Daphnia pulex: one gene and its partners. Each later gene encodes a partner of the first gene's protein in a complex. Links are inferred from orthologs where the notes say so. Each region holds a gene or a part of one and is shown in the gene's direction. Other genes may lie near its edges.

Region 1 (3,811 bases):
TTATTTTATTTTTATTTTTTGGCTTAGAGGGAGACGGTAGGAAGCTGGAGAATAGTAATTAAACTAATTAGAACTCACACATTGCAAGACGCAAGAGGCAAGAAAAATTAGCCGTGAAGACGAATGGCGAAATTAAATATTCATGATTTTATGTGTTCCTGGAAGAGTTGGTCTTGAAGCGATGGCATACTTGAGATTGTTGGCTGCACAACTTTACTTTCATAAAAGCTCATAAAATGTTTTCTTACTCTTTGATTTTATTATGAAATAAATAACAATGAAAGAATCATAGGTTGAATATGAAATATCTTTTAATAAATCGCAATAACCGAATTAATAGCCTAATATTTAATTCACACATTTTCTTAATCACCTTGAATGTACTAATTGGAATACAAATTGCAGTTTAAAGTGCGATAACCGCAACTTGGGTTATGACTTTTATTCTCTGTTCGTTTGCATTCGACAAGAATATTTAGACTCACTATAGCTTATACTCACCAGTGTAAAATGATCAAATTTAAAATAGCCTATTCGTTCTTTCTTCGGTAGATAATTTCTTTCAATTATCTTGGACTAGTGTATACAACTTTCAAACTAAAATATATGTTTCTATTCTCTCGCACTGTCCATTTCAAAGCGCAATCAAGTATGTTGTATATTCGATCACGGAGTGGAGTGCTGGCCTGGTCGTCAGCTTCTTGATTCCGCCACCAGCGGCCACCATGAGAAAGGGAAACCCGTTTAGAATTTCAAATTGCTGTGCTCTTTTTATTTTTACCGTTTCGCCATCTCTTGTTTAGACAAATCTATGTTATACATGTATAGCAATTCGTACTAGTGATAGAACTCAATTATAGTAAAAGGAGTTAGTGGACGGACATTGTCCCCCCACAAGACATCGCCTTAAGTACCAATCTAGTTGTTATAACTTTCTCGATTTCGTAGAATTGTTTGATTTTGAATCCAGTTACAAGTGGTAATACATATTCCGATCGAATCAGACCAACTAGTACAAAAAGAGGTTTCCCAGTTTCTGCTTTGTTTCAGAGGGCGATTATATACTTGGCCAGGCATTCCGGTGATTTCGTACTTATTAAAATTCCAAACATTCCGAATCACTTCTCACGGGGCGTTATGAAAAATACCACATTATTCCGCGTCTGAAAGTTACACAGATAGACGTCCTGATTTGCAAATTCCTATAAATCTAGAAAGGCAAGAAAATAATAATAATAATAATATTAGGGAATTCATACTGAAACAAATTTGAGATTTGAGCATTGAGATATGCAATCAGGGTTACATTTGAGGAGGAGTAAAAAGCTAAATGAAAAAATGTTGGCCAATCAAACTATTTCCTGTTAAAAGCTTATTAAAGGGATTGTGCAACAACAAATTTGATCAGTTATTTTTTTTAAGGCCATTAAATTTCCATGCCATTTCGATTTTTGGGGGGTTTTATTAAAGAAAAATGCGTTGACGAACTGATGGTTGCGTAAACTTATCTAATAAAACAAAAGAACGCGCTCTGGCGCGATTTATAGCAGACGATAGACTTGAAGACCTTTTCAGTTGTGTGACGTTGTCGATTGAAAGAAGAAACGATTACTTGTTTTATTAAAGCCGGCCAATATTTAGAACTACATTCTCTTGAATAGGTTTTTCTAGTACGTTGAAGCAGAATTTTTAAAACTGAAAACCATGGAGTCAAAGAAAAAGGAGAAAGAAAAAGAGAAAGACAAGGAGAAAGACAAAGATGTCATCGTTTATGAAAGGGAAATGGAAATGTCTTCAGCTAGTCGGGGTGTTTGGTTGGTGAAAGTACCAAAATACATTTCAAGTCGATGGGATAAATGCCCTGGAAATATTACAGCTGGACAACTGAATATTACTAGGTATGCATCAATTGGTTTATGTTAACAAATCGACAAATCCTTTATTAACTCATTACAACTCTTGTTCAGGGTGCAAGGACAAAAGTCTCAAGTCAAACTTATTCTGTCGGAAGCTATTATGTGTCTCCAGGAAAAAGGAGAGGAACCTATTCCTAAAGAGCATGGATTGATTGTTTCACACATTACTTCACAAACATTGGGTGTATTTTCTCAACAAACCAGTACGTACTACTTGACAGTTATGGGGAAGATTTTTATTTTAGGCCTGAGCTTAAAGCATGATATTTAAAGTGGCGTGCTTGCAATTAATCTAATTTAATATTGACATTTTTGTATTGTTTCCCCAGCTCCAGCCACCGCGAACTCACCTATGGAAACTGAGAAGATCATATTTGAAGGCAAAGTTGCCCAGAAGCTTGAATGTAGACCAACAGGTGAGACCAACAAAATAAAGTTCCTAAGCTTGAAGTGAGCATTAATGATTTTTATTTTCATCAGCAAATGCAAGTTACATGAAACTCAAAAGGGATTCTTTGATTAAAGCTGCCCAACCTACAAGAATTGTGAAGCAATTGGATCGAGTGGTTCAAAGTTACAAACCCATCTCTGACCACAAGCATAATGTAAATATAGCAATTCTCGTCTATTTTTGGTACATCATAACCTTTTATTCCTGATTACAGAAAGAATTCGACGAAAAGAAGAAAGCTGAGGGTAAGAAAGCCAGAGATGATAAGGGCAAAGTTATGGACATGCTGTTTGCAGCTTTTGAAAAGCATCAGTACTACAACATCAAGGACTTGGTAAAACTCACCAACCAACCTGTGGTAAGAAAAAGTTGTTTTCATACAAGCATTTGCACTTTTAAAACCCTCTGCTTTTATAGACCTACCTCAAGGAAATTTTGAAGGATGTTTGTGTATACAATTTGAAGAATCCTCACAAAAACATGTGGGAACTGAAACCGGAATACCGCCACTACAAAGATGAAGACAAGGACTAATAAGTAAACAGTCCATTAACTTTCTAATAAAGCTGTGATTTTCAGAAAACTACTAAACAGCTCTTGGATGCACATAACTTCAGATAACTCAAATGGGTTTCAACTGCCCTTGAAATTGTTCGATAAAATGTTCTCTTAGGCTACAATTTTCCCTTCGTCTAAAAATTCCCGTGCTAACAAGTGTGTGGTCCAATACATCGATGCGAACTTGAAAATTTTACCAATATAATTTATCCCAACCATATCAGGAAGAAATGATTTCATGAGCGAGTTCAGTGCGAAAAGTAGGCTTATGTGCTAACGAGGAACCCCTTTTAAACAGAATCGTAAGATTGTAAAAACAAGAATCAAGTAAAAGGTTACATGTTAATATTTACAGCTTTTCATGGTACCCTACTTACAGTTAACATTATATTATCTCAGTCAAAAGCCATAATCTATTAGAATAGCAACAGCCTGTCTCTTGATGAGATTCATCATCCAACCATGATTCAACCAACAATTTAACGCTGAATATAGTTATCTACAAATTAATTTGTTTTAATTTTCACTAGTTACAATTTGCCAGAATGTAATTTTAAAAATTGTTTATTTGTCAATATAGATACTATAAAATACACCAAACAGAATTATTTCACCAGGAAATCTGCAACTTCAGGTAGCGATGTGAGGGTTCCTGTACAACAACAGAATAAGAATTAGCATTTCAACATCATAGAAAACCATTTAAAGCACACTTCAACAAATTATCCACAGTGTGCCTCAGTGCCTTCAACATCAATTACTTTATGTTACTACTATCAAATGTTTTAATTCGGTTCAATCCATGTGTTCCAAATAAGGAGACAACGGTAGATCAGAATAAATTTTAATTTAGCATGTCCGCTTGGCCACTATAAGCTAAGTAGAG
Region 2 (3,950 bases), on another chromosome or scaffold:
ACCTTGATGCTATTTAAATTGTCAACTGCAAGAATTGTTGATCTTTGATCTTCGTAACATAAAAAACAAAAGCCTTTAGACTTGCCTGTAACCTTGTCTCGTACTAAATTGATGTTTGCAACCTCTCCATACCTTAAAAAAAAATTTTAACTATTAATAGCAATAATAAACATCACTTAAGTATTAACCATACTGAGAAAAAATGCAGATGATGTCCCCCTCAGACAATTCATAAGGCAATCCTCCAATGAAAATCCAAGCACTGTCTTTGTATTGATAATGCCATGAAGCTTTTCCTGATATGTTGTACTTCAGTTCAGTCTCGCTGAGTTTCTTGATATTCTTCACATTCCTAAGAAAAAGGAAATAGCCATATTAATAATGAACTTATAATATATTCTAGTCTAATAAGGTAGCATATAATATGCTTCGTTCTACGCAGCACCAGCAGATAACATGATTCCAAACTATATTTATGTTGTCCAGTCCCTACATTACAACACCCCCACACAAAACCTTCGATAAGTTTTATTATATTTACCCTCACTATGTGTTAACATACTTTTTAAGTTAGCCATAAATCGAAAATTTCTCACAAATAATATTGATACAAGATTATGAGTTTATGAATGATGCAAAAGCTATGTAGTACTTACGTTAGTGGATTCATCTTCGTCCAACAGGAAAGTTCTCGTAGAGTTTAGTTTAACTTGAAGATGGGCATTATTGCAAGGTGAGGAGTACTTAAGTCAGGATCGAAATCCGAAAGAATAATAACTGGATGTATTTGATTGAATTATTTGAATTGCTTTTCTTATTTCCGATGGCAGTTAGCGAAATGCCACTTGCCAAACCAAAGCCAAAATATCAAGCAGACGATCACGTTCAAGGAAAGAAGGCATGTAAGACGTACCGAGTGCGCCTCTGGTGTTTAATATATGCATAAACATCTGCTATTATGATCTCCGTTGATTGCTTGAATATAGGAAAATAATTCATTTAATTTAGAAGTTAGAAATAAGTTTTCAAAGTATAAATTTACTCGAAACGATCAAGAAGTACAAAATATAATTCTCGTTCTTGATTTTCCGCTAGGTGTGCTATGTGTGCCCGAACCATGCTTCTGCTTCAGGCGATTTATTTTTGTGTTGTTGCTCTCTCTCAGCTGAGTTTTCACTGTCAGTGTTCAGTCTTCACTTCAGTGTTCGTCCAAAGTTCATCATTCAATCACTTTACCGAGAAAGTTAAATTTGTTTAGAATTTTCCAGCAGTATTCATAGAATAATTCACGGTTATTCCTCTGTTTAATATGGCTGGGGGGAGCCGTAAATACGGGAAAAAAGATGGAGATCGTTATGACGCGTCCAAGAAAAAATTTGCTGGTAAAAAACGAAAGGATTTTGAAGATGAGAGTGCTTATGATGAAGGCATACCGGATGGAAATGAAGCTGAGGGTGTGCCAGAAGCGGCAAAGCACTTCATTGAAGTTGAAGGTGAAAGGCAAGGGGAAGATGAATATGGAGCCAAAGATTATCGAGACTTGCAGCTTAAACCAGACCACATGTCTAGACCATTGTGGGTTGCTCCCAATGGCCACATCTTCCTGGAGTCATTCTCACCAGTCTACAAACACGCTCACGACTTTCTGATTGCAATAAGTGAACCAGTTTGTCGTCCAGAACACATACATGAGTACAAGTTGACTTCTTACTCATTGTATGCTGCCGTCAGTGTCGGGCTGCAAACTCATGACATCATAGAGTATTTAAAGCGCTTAAGCAAAACTGCTGTCCCTGATGGAATTGTAGACTTCATAAAGATCTCAACACTCTCTTACGGCAAAGTCAAATTAGTGTTGAAGCACAATCGCTATTTTGTTGAGTCTCAATATCCAGATGTCATCCAAAAATTGTTGAAAGATCCTGTAATTCAAGAATGCAGACTTCGTCACAGCGTGGAATCTTCAACAGATGGACTGATCACTCAAGTTCAATCAAAAGCAACGTCTATTCAATTTGGAAAACCTGGTACTTCAGGAGAGGAACCAGGAGAAGAAGGAAAGCAAGTGCCTGATGACATATCGAATTTTTACGACAAAATGGACAAGGATGAGGACGACGAAGATGATTCTTCTCTTCAAACGGTTGCATTTGAAGTAAATCAAGAAAAAATTGAAGTCATTCAAAAGCGATGTATTCAGCTAGAATACCCTTTGTTAGCGGAATATGATTTTCGTAACGACACTCATAATCAGGACATAAACATTGATTTGAGACCTGCAGCTGTATTGCGGCCTTACCAGGAAAAAAGCCTGCGAAAAATGTTTGGCAATGGTCGTGCTCGCTCTGGGCTCATTGTTTTGCCTTGTGGAGCTGGTAAAAGTTTGGTTGGTGTGACAGCCTGTTGTACAGTTCGAAAAAGAGCTTTAGTTCTGTGCAATTCTGGAGTTTCAGTCGAGCAGTGGAAAGCCCAGTTTAAGATGTGGTCTACTGCTGACGATAGTAAGAAGTTGTTAATATGTTTTTATCTTTACTTGATAAATAAATGTTTTTTTTTTTTTTTTCATTTCAGGTATGATCTGTCGTTTTACATCTGATGCAAAGGATAAGCCTCATGGATGCAGCATCATGATCACAACCTTTAACATGATAACACATCAGCAAAAACGTTCGTATGAGGCAGATCAAACGATGAAGTGGCTCCAGGAGCAGGAATGGGGTATTATGGTGTTGGACGAGGTGCACACTATTCCAGCTCGCATGTTTCGTCGTGTTTTGACCATTGTTCAAGCCCATTGCAAGCTTGGTTTGACAGCTACTCTCGTCCGCGAAGATGGTATTTGATTATTTTTACCTGTAATGTATTTATTTGTCTGATCAACGATTTTCTTTATCTTACAGACAAGATTGCAGACTTGAATTTTTTGATCGGACCAAAGCTGTACGAGGCTAATTGGTTGGAGCTGCAAAAACGTGGATTCATTGCTCGAGTACAATGCGCTGAAGTATGGTGTCCTATGAGCCCAGAATTCTATCGCGAGTATCTGGCCTGTAAATCCGCAAAGAAAATGCTTCTCTTCGTAATGAATCCTAACAAGTTTAGAGCCTGTCAGTTTCTTATTCGCTACCACGAGCGACGTAATGACAAAATCATCGTTTTTTCGGATAATGTGTATGCTCTTAAGCACTATGCGCTTACCATGAATAAGCCATTCATTTACGGTCCAACATCTCAGAACGAAAGGCTTCAAATTCTACAAAATTTCAAACTGAATCCGAAGGTGAACACAATTTTCGTCAGTAAGGTGGCTGATACTTCCTTCGATTTGCCTGATGCCAACGTGCTTATTCAAATATCCTCGCACGGTGGCTCTCGTCGTCAAGAAGCTCAACGTTTGGGGCGTATTCTTCGAGCCAAGAAAGGTGCCATTGCGGAGGAGTACAATGCGTTCTTCTACACGCTGGTATCGCAAGATACATTGGAAATGAGCTTCTCTCGTAAACGTCAGCGATTCTTGGTTAATCAAGGATACAGCTATAAAGTCATCACTCGCATGGCGGGCATGGATCAAGACCAGGAATTGAACTACAAGAGCAAGGAAGAGCAAGCCAACCTGCTACAAATGGTTCTGACAGCATCGGATATTGATGCAGATGAAGAGCGTGTACCCGGAGAAATTGGAGGTCGGCCTGGTCCATTTGGACGACGCGTTGGAACCATGGCATCAATGAGCGGTGCCGATGACGCAGTTTATATGGAATATAAACGCCCATCAGCTTCAAATAATTTATCCAAACACCCCCTTTTCAAGAAATACCGCACCAAGTAAAGATTTTCCAAGTCATAAAATGTGATTACTATATCTCAAAATTCATGTTGAATAAATACAGAAACTGGTTTAATACTTTTTATTTCTCACTTTTTTTTGGTGTCTGGTGACAGGTGTGTGA
Region 3 (2,671 bases), on another chromosome or scaffold:
TCGTGTTCTTTAATTTAAAATTATAATTAAATTTAAGATTTTGTACAGAGTACATCCGCCCAGTGTGTCTGTCAATTTCCGGTATCGACGAACCTGATTACGTCAACGAAATGGTTACCGTCACGAGATGGGGTACAACTTACGACGGTATTCCGTTCAACATACGACGACGAGAGAATCCAAAATAAAAGTTAAATGTTTCAAAAATTCAGGTAGTCCACGTATAAGCCCAGTGTTACATAAGATGACGGTCCGGCTCATCTCCAATAACGACTGCAGGACAACTTATGGCGACAACATCCAAGGAGGACATTATGTGCACCAGTGATGGCGCCAACAACATGGGAACTTGCATAGTAAGTGAACGCATAATCATCCTAGTGAATTTACTTTTAAAATGTATGCAAATATGGCAGGGCGATAGTGGCGGATCGATGAATTACAAACAGATGGACGGCAGGTGGAAACAGATCGGGATCATATCGTTCGGTTCGACTGAGGGATGCCAAAAGAAAAGGGTCATCCAAACGGTTACAACAGACTGAGCTCTTATTCTTCATTTCAACGTAGATCCGGGATATTATTGAATCAACTTCCGGCACTCATTGAACATCCGCCTTTTTATCGACACCCCTTATGCTCGTTTCAATCGTATTCGTGATTAGCCTTTCGACGGCGTGGTTCTAACGACTCATTTGAATGCCCTCCCAGGGCTCCCACCTACTAATGTACATTACTATATCGTTTATTCATTTAGTTTGTAATAACAAGTCTCAAAACAAGGTGAATCATTAAACGCAACATTTTCTAATCGAATCCAGAATTTGAAAATCTCAGTCATTTTAACAGTCCGGCAGTTGTAATAATTAGATACCAGCGTAAGCATTTACGTGCGAGCATGTACGACGGCGACATAATCAGCACGCAAATTGCTGTAAAACATTACATCTTTTACAAGTTGGAAAAAAACATTTAACTTCACCGGAAATCCCAAGTAGGATCTCTTGCCCTCGTCCTCCTAACGGCCACCGGTTTACTTTCGCCTCTGATGAGATCGACCCTCTGCAACCGTTCGACAACTTAATATCCCAGCTATTTAATACACATTTGGACTGTCCTACACTGTCGACGAAGCAACGATGTGCTGACATTTTCCATTTTAAATTACTGTTTTCTTATACCCTGTTACAAATGGATGCATTTTAGTATTTTACCATGAATCGTCCATTCGAGATCCAACCATAAAGTATCCACAGTCCACACGTATAGTCGTATACTTTATGAATCGACATTTGAATCAAGAAAGGGACGCAAGGCCACCTGGTGAACGAACGCCGAAGTTGACTCGGCCGACAACTCGACAAAGCGGTGGCGGTTGACTAGGGCACCATCGTCTGCACGCTGTAGCAAATGCAAATCTCTTAAATTTGACTGGAAATCTCGTGGTCTTGTTAACTTACTCAGTTTTCACTTTTCACTGTGATTATCTTACCCTTTAAACAATAATGGCAGACGATGACTTTGAGAACGACGAGTAAGTTAATAGTTAGTTGGAGTTTTTCTTCTTTTCTTAATCACATGTACAACATGTTGAATTTCTGTTATTTAGTGGCGACGATTTTGAAGATGCTGAAGACGATGATAACATGGATGAAATGGAACAGCCAGACGATGATGCACAAATTGATCTACTTCAGCAAGGTGAAGGTGGAGCTGGCCAACTGCAAACCAAGCGCATTACAACACCTTACATGACAAAGTATGTAACACTTGAAAGATGCATAGCTCATGAAAGACTATAAACAAGTCTTACATTTTTAGGTATGAAAGGGCACGGGTGTTAGGGACCAGAGCATTACAAATAGCAATGTGTGCACCAGTCATGGTTGAATTGGAAGGCGAAACAGATCCCCTGCAAATTGCAATGAAAGAATTGAAGCAGAAGAAAATTCCTATAATCATTCGCCGCTATCTTCCTGATGGAAGTTATGAAGATTGGGGAATAGACGAACTTGTAATCAATGACTGAGTCCAACATACAATAATACACTAAGATGTCTTTTTAATTGTACTTTGTAATTCTTTCACCATTTGTCTCCCATTGATGAGAAGTCCCTTGATTGTTTCCTTCAAAATAAAATTCTGTGAAATAAATTCCAAATGAAAACAAACTAATTAATACTTCATTAGTGTGAGATCGGTGTGTTTCAAAGTCACTCCTAGCCCACTTGATGATTTCGTCTTTTTGATGCCTATCTACTTTTCTAGCTGTGCGTAGAACTTGATGAACAAAACACTTGTTTAATAGTTATCAGAACTATGTACCCTAATATTAAGTAATCAATTACCTTCTCTGTATAAATTCAAAACCTCTTGCCTAAGCATGAACTGAGAGAGAATAATTTTTTATCAGAAGCTCTGCAATGTGATATGTTAATGCTATAAATATGGAATTACCTGCTTAAGAGTGAGCACTTTTTTAGGAATTCTTGAAATGGTAGACATAGTTATTTGTGGGTAAATTCAGATTACTAAAACCAGTTGAAAGTGTTTTGATTACTGAAGTGATTTATTCTAGGAGTCTATTATCAATATCATCTCACGATCTATTGACAATATTCATTAATGGTTAATTCTACGATACCCTTCAGAAAAATAACTATTTTTATTT

Evidence for each region.
Region 2: general transcription factor IIF subunit 2-like (region 1) and general transcription and DNA repair factor IIH helicase subunit XPB-like share a complex: the UniProt entries of both Homo sapiens proteins name them as parts of the TBP-based Pol II pre-initiation complex. The link is inferred for Daphnia pulex from reciprocal best matches to the Homo sapiens genes GTF2F2 and ERCC3.
Region 3: general transcription factor IIF subunit 2-like (region 1) and DNA-directed RNA polymerases I, II, and III subunit RPABC2-like share a complex: the UniProt entries of both Homo sapiens proteins name them as parts of the TBP-based Pol II pre-initiation complex. The link is inferred for Daphnia pulex from reciprocal best matches to the Homo sapiens genes GTF2F2 and POLR2F.

What each region holds. Positions count from the first base shown.
Region 1 is NC_060025.1:405,869-409,679, forward strand, and holds general transcription factor IIF subunit 2-like, read left to right. Parts: upstream 1-1,550; 5' UTR 1,551-1,704; coding exon 1,705-1,898; intron 1,899-1,967; coding exon 1,968-2,119; intron 2,120-2,245; coding exon 2,246-2,332; intron 2,333-2,396; coding exon 2,397-2,521; intron 2,522-2,581; coding exon 2,582-2,725; intron 2,726-2,784; coding exon 2,785-2,901; 3' UTR 2,902-3,116; downstream 3,117-3,811. UniProt on the Homo sapiens protein: TFIIF is a general transcription initiation factor that binds to RNA polymerase II and helps to recruit it to the initiation complex in collaboration with TFIIB.
Region 2 is NC_060020.1:5,844,918-5,848,867, forward strand, and holds general transcription and DNA repair factor IIH helicase subunit XPB-like, read left to right. Parts: upstream 1-1,150; 5' UTR 1,151-1,309; coding exon 1,310-2,501; intron 2,502-2,571; coding exon 2,572-2,835; intron 2,836-2,900; coding exon 2,901-3,829; 3' UTR 3,830-3,904; downstream 3,905-3,950. Other genes in the region: RNA-binding motif protein, X-linked 2-like, read right to left, coding at 3-132, 194-352, 657-670. UniProt on the Homo sapiens protein: ATP-dependent 3'-5' DNA helicase/translocase. Binds dsDNA rather than ssDNA, unzipping it in a translocase rather than classical helicase activity. Component of the general transcription and DNA repair factor IIH (TFIIH) core complex.
Region 3 is NC_060023.1:6,841,255-6,843,925, forward strand, and holds DNA-directed RNA polymerases I, II, and III subunit RPABC2-like, read left to right. Parts: upstream 1-1,347; 5' UTR 1,348-1,505; coding exon 1,506-1,534; intron 1,535-1,609; coding exon 1,610-1,759; intron 1,760-1,821; coding exon 1,822-2,029; 3' UTR 2,030-2,049; coding exon of another isoform or gene 2,050-2,127; 3' UTR 2,128-2,171; downstream 2,172-2,671. Other genes in the region: chymotrypsin BII-like, read left to right, coding at 49-147, 213-328; LYR motif-containing protein 2-like, read right to left, coding at 2,050-2,127, 2,183-2,280, 2,349-2,388, 2,458-2,505. UniProt on the Homo sapiens protein: DNA-dependent RNA polymerase catalyzes the transcription of DNA into RNA using the four ribonucleoside triphosphates as substrates.